2 linked regions of the Kluyveromyces lactis genome follow. The protein of the gene in region 1 binds, or shares a complex with, the protein of each later gene. Links are inferred from orthologs where the notes say so. Each region holds a gene or a part of one and is shown on either strand. Other genes may lie near its edges. The genes, in order: HDA1 and HDA2.

Region 1 (4,092 bases):
GTCCACCAGCTCGTTTTCCTTCGTTCCGGAAAATAATGACTATGAATTGATCGAAGATATACAAAAGGAGAAACCAAAATCATCACTGAGAAGATCCTCTTCCTTGAAAACTTCATCTTCGATCCAGAAGCGCGTTAAAGATCTAATCAATGCAGATGATATACCCAATCGCTCTTCTGCCACTGGATACGGGAAATATACTGATATTGGGAGGAAAACCGATATATCTGACCACCATAAATCCAATGCAAATCGTAAATCAAGTACAGTGATCACTCCTGTGCATGAGGCTCCTAAATCCAAACCAGCACCGCCACCCAAACCAGCTCATTTGAAGCCAAATCTTCCACCTAAGCCTAAACACCTAAAGGCAAAATCTTTCAGAACAAGCCCAGCAAAATCCGAAGTTAAAGAGCAGGATTCCGATCAAGATTCTGTGGGTAGCCCTTTCCAATCTCGAAAAGAAATGAAAGAGTTTGAAAGAAGATTTCCAAGTGCATTATAGAATACTTTTAAAATTACATATATCTTTATAATGATATTCTAATTATTCCGATTCACTCCATTCTTCGAAAGAATCCAATATGAAATCAGTTGCTTCTTCAAAACGTTCATCGAATATGTTTGTCATTCCGTCACAATCTGCCTTCAAAACTCTACCATACTTCTTTCTTAACTTCTTATTTTCGTTGGCCGTACTACCCCAACAAGAATGTGTGCTACTTGTGAATACCAAGGAATTCTTGAAATACCAATCTCCTAACGTTTCGTCAATTAATGGCACCATTACTTTAAGAGGTTTTTTGTCTAAAAATGATATTGCACATTTTACCACTGACCTGGTATCCCTATGGCCTAATAAATGGACAATGCCTCCGTAGGCATCTCCAATGCCGATAAATGCCACCTTTTGTAGATTTTGGAAGAATTTCAAGTAGTTATCCCATAAATATATCAGAATCTCTTGTGATGACGCAACACCTGGGTAGTTGGCATGTTCAAAGAGTGTTTGAGGTATATTTATGTCAATTATTCCATATCTTCTATCCATTGCCCAATTGATCATCTTCAAAGCATTGTCGACGATAATTGAACTAGAAGGATCAATAATTCCTGTCTGTGTGTCACGTTCAGACCAAATCTCTGGTGTGTCATGCACGATCACCACAAGTGTTTCAGAGTCTTGGATACCTGAGGTGCATAGCATAGTATTTGCTGGTAAATTCAAATCAAGAATTGGAAGTTGAACAAAGTTGAATTGTGATGAGAGCTGTGAAACTTGGTATTCTCTAATAGCATTTTGTAAAGGGAAATTCCTTGTGTCCAATGTTGAAGTTATAGCATCCTTGAAATTGATCCCGTCATTTCCATGTCTGTTCTTAAAGCAAGACCAATACTTTGACTGCGTTCTGATGACTGTTTCGATCATTTTTTTTGCCTCTGGAGTTGGTTGCTTTTTAGGAGCAGGCAATTCATCTGGTGGTTCTCCGACCAACACCTTACAAACACCAAGCGCCGACTTAGCTATAGAATCCAAATTGTACCCACCTTCTAAGACAACACACAAGTTTCCTTTAGCCAACGAAAGTAGCATATGGGTCATGTGACCGTAACAAGCAGGAGTAACATGGCATTGGCCGATAGTGTCACCATCGGCTGCATCAAAACCAGATGAAATAAGGACCAAATCCGGTTCAAACTCGCGACCCATTGGCATGATAACTTGTTCAAAAGCCCACATGTATTCAGCATCACCAACACCGCCTGTTGGCCACGTTATATTACAATTGAAACCTTCACCTTTCCCTTCGCCGGTTTGGTCATAGTTTCCATGGATAGTACCTGGGTAATACTTGCCTAATTGATACCTGTGAAGAGATACATATAAAACTCTATCATCGTCATAGAAGGCCTTTTGAGTTCCGTTACCATGATGGATATCCCAATCAACGATCATGATTTTACGAACACTTTCAGGATACGATTTGAGCATATTTGCAGCAGCGACGGCTACGTTACTGAACAAACAAAAACCACCAGCAATTTCAGGTTCAGCGTGATGACCAGGTGGCCTTACTACAGCTATTGAGTTTTTCACTCTTCCCTCGACGACAGCCTTACATGCTTCGATAGCACCACCGCATGAAAGTTTGGCACTAAGATACGAGTCATTATTGAAATACACGGAATCTCCACCCTCAGTCTCCTTGAGTAAACTTTCACGTTCGAGCTGTTCTGTCTGTGATATGAAATCCAAATGCTGTCTTGAATGGACTTGCAAAATTTCTTCCTCTTCAGCTTCACGTACGGGAACCTTCACCATTAGATCTCCGATCGAATCTGCACCACTCAAAGTTGGGTCCTGAATCAATCCATTCTCCGCTAGGATCTTGTAAACACGGTAGATACGGCGGGGGTCCTCTGGATGTGGATCGATGTATTCGAAGTAAGACGTGAAGATCTTAGCATGATAACGCATCCTCACATCATAACAGATCCCGGTTTTCAAAAGACTATATCTAATCTTTGGCTTCGTTGGTGGAACAATGACAGGCCGTTGAGATTCATCTTTACTGGGCAGAGTATATGCAGTACCCTCATTTTTAATTTCCTTGATGCTGGGCCTTTCCAGCGGCTCTTCAGCCGGTTTTTTACTTTCCATGTTCCGAATATATTATGGAAAGGTAACCACGATAATGTTGAATGACAGGCAATGGCAAAAGGGATACCGTAACTAGCTTTCAATGGGAAACGGTCTACTAGAAATGAATGATACAACCACAAATTACGTAACTCCAATGCACGCTTAATTCCCTAGAGCGCCTTTTTACCTTCTAATCGTGAGGAAAGGCTAAAAGTCCACTGAAAATGGCGGAAAAGCTGTGAGAGAACTCTCTTCGTTCGGATTATCTCTCGAAATTTTACTGGCCAAAAAAGTTGTTTTGTGTTCAGATACCGTCAGAATCGTTTGATTGACCTTGGTTATATGGACGTAGCTGTCTTGCACAGGATCTGGTACTCAGAAGATCCGTATGAAGATCAGCTGTTTCACATATGGTTCCATGAGCGCAGGAAATTGTTGATGTTTTAAAGTTCCAATATTTACAGAAAACCAAACTGAGGTGACAATAGAAAAGAAATTATTTTTCAACATCGGACTCTTCAAGTACTGAAAATTGAAAATGTATAATACGTATGAAGAAACATGTAACAAGAGCTCATCGCGATGAGGTATAGAATAGACGTAATATAGTTACGTGTTAGAACTGATTTTGCTGGATCTGTGGTACAAGCTATACAGCGCTATTTCATTGGATTTTCATTTTAACTTCATTGTGATTCGAGATGGAATTCTACCGTGATGCAACCTGGGTATTGGAATTCGTGGAACAGGAGCTCTCTAAAGACAAGAGAGTTGCAGGTTCGTTACAGACCTTGGTACTTACTAGTTGTAAAAGATATAAGCTGAAGACAAATCCTCGTCACATTTATGCCATTGTTAGTAGTACATGGCAGTATAGGGAATATCTAGATAAAATCATTAAGAAGAGCGGGATCTTGGAGGACGTACCGAAAAAGAAAGGGAAACCGCTGTTCAATAAGGATACCATAAGGCTCCTAGTACACGACCTTTTACTTTCAAAATCGAAGCGGATTCAGATGGGTAAGCATCCTATCAAAACTTTCATTTTGAAGCATCAGACTAGGTTAAAGGCTGAGTTGACAAAGCTCAAAGTTAAACTTAAAGTCACCAGTCTGTCGCAGTTAATCAAAACCGATGATGGAGAAGATGTTACACCGGTTCGTTGGATCAGAATTAACCCTATCCTTGTCAAGGAAAGATATGACGATGTTCTTGCTGAATTAAACAAGAAATTCCCACAAAGAGTGAACTCTTGGAAACAAATCGTTCCTGGGAGCATATATTACGATGAGTATATTCCAAACTTGTTTGGCATTCATCCAGGTGATAAGATCACTTCGCATGAGCAATATAAGAGGGGGAAAATTATCATTCAAGACAGGGCATCCTGTTTCCCCGCCCACATCCTCAATCCAAACAGTACTGACGTTGTTATCGATGCATGTGCG
Region 2 (4,137 bases), on another chromosome or scaffold:
ACTAGGTCAAAAAAAAGATGTAGAAGAAACACTGCACTCGCTATTTTTCTAGCACAATGTCTAAACCCATCACAATCCATTGCATTTGTTTTCGGACCCTGTACAGTAGCACCAGGTAAGGTTATCTCAATGGACCGAAAAAATCATATCAGGCAGCATAGAAATATAGAGGAAGACAAGGATGTGAAATATTGGAAACCTTCTAGAGAATTTTACAATAAAATGAGTAAGTCCTTAAAGTTTGCTCCATGCACGGTATTCGTCGCATCCATGGATCAGGTCGGAATATGGGAGATGAGATCCTGTTTGAACAACTTTATTCAATACGAATCCTTCAATGATAGAAATTTCATATATGATTGGCAGGCGTATATTCAAGGGAAAGGATGTTATGAAATAACCAGAATTGTTATCAAAACTTCTAACAAGCTATTACTGAATGGGATCTTTGGTCCAGTCTCATCCTTGAAAGACAAGGACACACATGTATCTGACACTCCAAAGGGCTTTGGAGGGTCTGGAACCTTCCGTTACAAAGGGCCAAGTAGTAATCTACCATCAATTTTGATAAGTTTATCTGTTGATACATCTCGCAGCGCTGCTGAAGCCTTGCAAGAAATGCCAGATAAATTTTCCTTTCAAATGGAATGCTACTATAAACACTTGAATCAAGAATACGTTTCTGTAGAAACGAAATTTATTCCCAGTACAACCTTACCAGGTGAACATCTTTTAACCCAAAATTTCCACTGGGATATAATGGCTGGATCCATAATGAAAAAAATATCTTTCGCTGTCTTGTTTCAAGGCAAGTTTTATGATTACGATCTAAGGTGGTGGACGTTAGAAATAGTAAAACTTCTTAAATCATTGAATGCCATCGATGTTCCTGGCATTAAATCCTTACAAGAAGTAACGTACTTTATGCAAAGATCAACTCTCTTAAGGAAGAGAAATACATCGCCTGACGAGTGGATCGTCTACCATTGGACAATTCTGAATTCCCCTTTAAGTCATATATTCAAGATGGTTAGACCCCAAGTGTATTCGACCACAGGGCTTATTCAAAATACAACTGACATCCTTAATTATGCCGAACCTTTATTGGTAGATGGTGGTAACGTCCTTGTGGTACGAGATACTTCAGTAGGAGATAGCAGAGTTGACAGTTTGAAGGCAGCTGCTGATACCATATACCACGATGGAAGTCGATTTCCAAAGCCTTGGTATCGAGAAACCAAGCCAGGTGCTAGTCAGGATAGATTTGTAATTGCACGACTAGGCTTAACTGCAGAACATTCTTTGCATTCTGATGACCTCACGCTTGATAAATACATGGCACTGTTTAAATCAAAAAGTACTGCATGAAAAGTATGTAATCATTCATTTTACCTCTCAACAGATATCATGAACTCTATATATATATAACCAAAACCAAAAGGTTAGAATAGTTCCCCATTTACTGTCGCAACCTTCGAATCTATCGCTCCCCCTTTGAATAACAATTGTATGGCAGGAAAAGATACTATGTACGTATTCCTTGGTTTCTCCATCTGTCGCTTTTCAAAAATGACATATTTCATTTTTTAAAAGATACTATATAATTAAATCTAACCATTCTTTCCGAATAGCACATTAAAAGCCAGAGTCCAGAGGAAAAGAAAGAGAAACTGCAAGCGCGAGCCATTGGGTCGTTTCATTAGGGAAAGAAAGATGAACTCCACTTCCAACCGGACTCAGGTATTTTATATACCTGTTGGCCTAACTCAAGTTCAGAAAGATTTGTTGGAAATTTTAATCTCGATACATGCAGAGTCGTTTGTCTCATGTGTAGATAAACGTCTACTGCCAGAACTACAATCTAAATTAGAAAAAAAAGGGACAAATCTCAAAAGAGACTTGAGTATGACTGCATTAACAGATGTTCAGTTAACTGAATGGTTCTTCGAAAATATAAGAGCTGTCTCGAATCACCCTTGCCTGTTAGTTGAGCATTATATGCCTAGACAGTTTTTGTTAATGGAACCAACTGAAAGGTTGATATACACCAGCGATAAATTTGGCAAGTTAAATCTAATGGTTGATCTTTTATTGAATCGTAAGGACAAATCGAGGCCATTGCAAGTTGCTATCATTTCACATTCTGTGAAAGAATTGGATTTGATTGAAGGCGTCATGTTGGGAAAAGTTGCAAAGTTGAAGAGGTTATCTGGAACTTCTTTGTTTGACGAAAAACATGAATATGACGATCAAACTTCTGGTTCAAGAACAACCAATGGTGAAAATTCATCAAGTTCTGGTAGCGTAGCTCCTGAGCAAATCGGAAAATCGAAAGATGAATACAACTACTCTAAGTCAAGACGTAAGAATAACATATCTCAACTTGACTGGTTGTTTTTGGCAACAACCACACATTTGACACACTCTGAAGATTTACTTTCTAGGTACAATCTGGATCTTATCATCAGTTTTGATCCAATGCTGGACGAATCGTTACCATCGATATTCAAAGTCAGGAAAAATGGCAGAAAAACTCCTCTGTTTAAGCTATTGGTCCAAGATTCTCCGGATCACTATTTGTTATCCAAAAAGAAGCCAACTACTACTTCCGAAAAGCTAATTTTGGATTCCATTGTTCATTTTCTAAAGTATCGTGCCGATATCAAAGATCTTATTTCTTTACAACAATATGAAAATATTATTGACTCATTGATCAAAGAGACGGACCCTGGTGAATTTCTCCCAAGTGTAAATCCAGGAAGTTCGAGAAATAATGATGATTTGATTCCTTTTCTAACTAACCCAATGGAATTGATGCCTCTAACTTACGGAAAATATGAATTAAGGCTACAATCAGGACCAATGGACATTAAAAATTATCAGTATATTTTAAAAACACTCACGGCAGAACGACTCAAACAATGCCATGTAGAATATGAAGAGCGTGAAAAACTAGTCCTCAAGACCAGATTGAAAGAAACTAAAAGGTTAAATGACTTTGATGATTTGAAGGTGAATATCGGACAACATTTCAAAAAACTCAAAGAAAATGAAACCAAAATCAACGACTCTGAAAAACGCGTTGAAAGAACAAGATCTGAGTTGGAAGTTTTAGAAGAACGTCTAAAGAGCTTGGTTGAACGCAAATCCGAGCTTGTAAGGCTCTTAACTCTCGAAGATATTGCAAAAGAAATTGAAAATCAGAAGCAACAACATACCAAGCTATCAGATGAAGTTTCTTCCTTCAAGAAGAGTAACGATGAAGAGTCCTTTAAGAATGACGATTTGAGATCTAGCTACCAACAAAAATCGTCTGAGGCTGCTTCAGAAGTGCTAAAGACTTCAGCTCTGAAAGCTGAGAAAGAGGAGTTGGAACGCCAATTGAATGGACCTTTCACCAAGTGGGAACTTATTATATTGCAAGAAAAAGAAGCACAACTCAAATCTTCCTTACGCAAAATGGTACAGCAGTCTCAATTCCTAATACAATACATGAACCGAATACAAGGCCAATACAACATTGAAAACGAACCTGCAAAAAAATCATCTCCGGCAACGAACAACTCGTCAAGGTACACTACAAGAACTACCAGGGCTACTTCTCCTACGTACACATAAGTATTACTCCTTCTAGGATACATCCAGACCAAACCATCTCTCAACTACTGCATGCAATATACTGATATCTGAAAGCCTGTCAGATTCTGGTAAACACAAGCTTGCTTGCAAAATTGTAACACTAGCGCAATTACTCCTCTATATAGACCAGTTTGTATTATGTGAGTCAATAGTGACTTGTTCATTCTAATTTCGACATGACCACCCTAACTGCGGCAGTAACGGATCGGCATAACCATATTCAGTTGAAACTGGAACATAGAATTTGAGCTTTTTTTTTCGTACTTTTCGGATTTTAAAGACCTTTACTGATTCGTCTGGTATTTTGCATATAGGGTAGAAAATAAGAACTTTTAGTAGATTTTATGTCTTGCTCTCAAATTGAAAGCAGAAACTAAGGGTATACAGTTCTTTTTTTTTTCTTACCATTGCGTTGTATTGAGCTGACTCCCACAAAATAATAACACTTTAATCTTGGCTACTGTTAAACTCTGAACTTGATTTTGATACAAGTTTTCT

What was found.
Region 2: the proteins of HDA1 (region 1) and HDA2 are in contact, whole or in part, in a cryo-EM structure (PDB 6Z6O), measured with the Saccharomyces cerevisiae proteins. The link is inferred for Kluyveromyces lactis from reciprocal best matches to the Saccharomyces cerevisiae genes HDA1 and HDA2. Residues at the interface, in NP_014377.1 of Saccharomyces cerevisiae: Met48, Ile51, Leu56, Val64, Arg65, Arg67, Tyr68, Ala70, Phe73, Tyr76, Phe77, Tyr79, Ile80, Arg88, Tyr91, Thr107, Leu108, Ser109, Gly110, Pro122, Val123, Arg124, Glu147, Arg151, Asn167, Asn168, Asp169, Val189, Glu190, Gly191; in NP_010581.3 of Saccharomyces cerevisiae: Pro105, Thr106, Glu107, Asn124, Phe128, Gly160, Lys161, Lys162, Arg447, Leu448, Glu450, Thr451, Arg453, Gln454, Asn455, Asp458, Lys461, Val464, Gly465, Phe468, Lys469, Gln472, Asn557, Ser561, Asn564, Asp565, Arg568, Tyr571, Gln572, Ser575.

The regions. Positions count from the first base shown.
Region 1 is NC_006041.1:752,618-756,709, reverse strand, and holds HDA1 (histone deacetylase HDA1), read right to left. Parts: upstream 2,663-4,092; coding exon 548-2,662; downstream 1-547. Other genes in the region: KLLA0_E08405g (Ark/Prk/Nak family serine/threonine-protein kinase), read left to right, coding at 1-505; rRNA (cytosine-C5-)-methyltransferase RCM1, read left to right, coding at 3,346-4,092. UniProt on the Saccharomyces cerevisiae protein: Responsible for the deacetylation of lysine residues on the N-terminal part of the core histones (H2A, H2B, H3 and H4).
Region 2 is NC_006039.1:895,643-899,779, forward strand, and holds HDA2 (Hda2p), read left to right. Parts: upstream 1-1,713; coding exon 1,714-3,618; downstream 3,619-4,137. Other genes in the region: GTPase-activating protein NEL1, read left to right, coding at 1-1,368. UniProt on the Saccharomyces cerevisiae protein: Required for activity of HDA1 histone deacetylase complex. The HDA1 histone deacetylase complex is responsible for the deacetylation of lysine residues on the N-terminal part of the core histones (H2A, H2B, H3 and H4).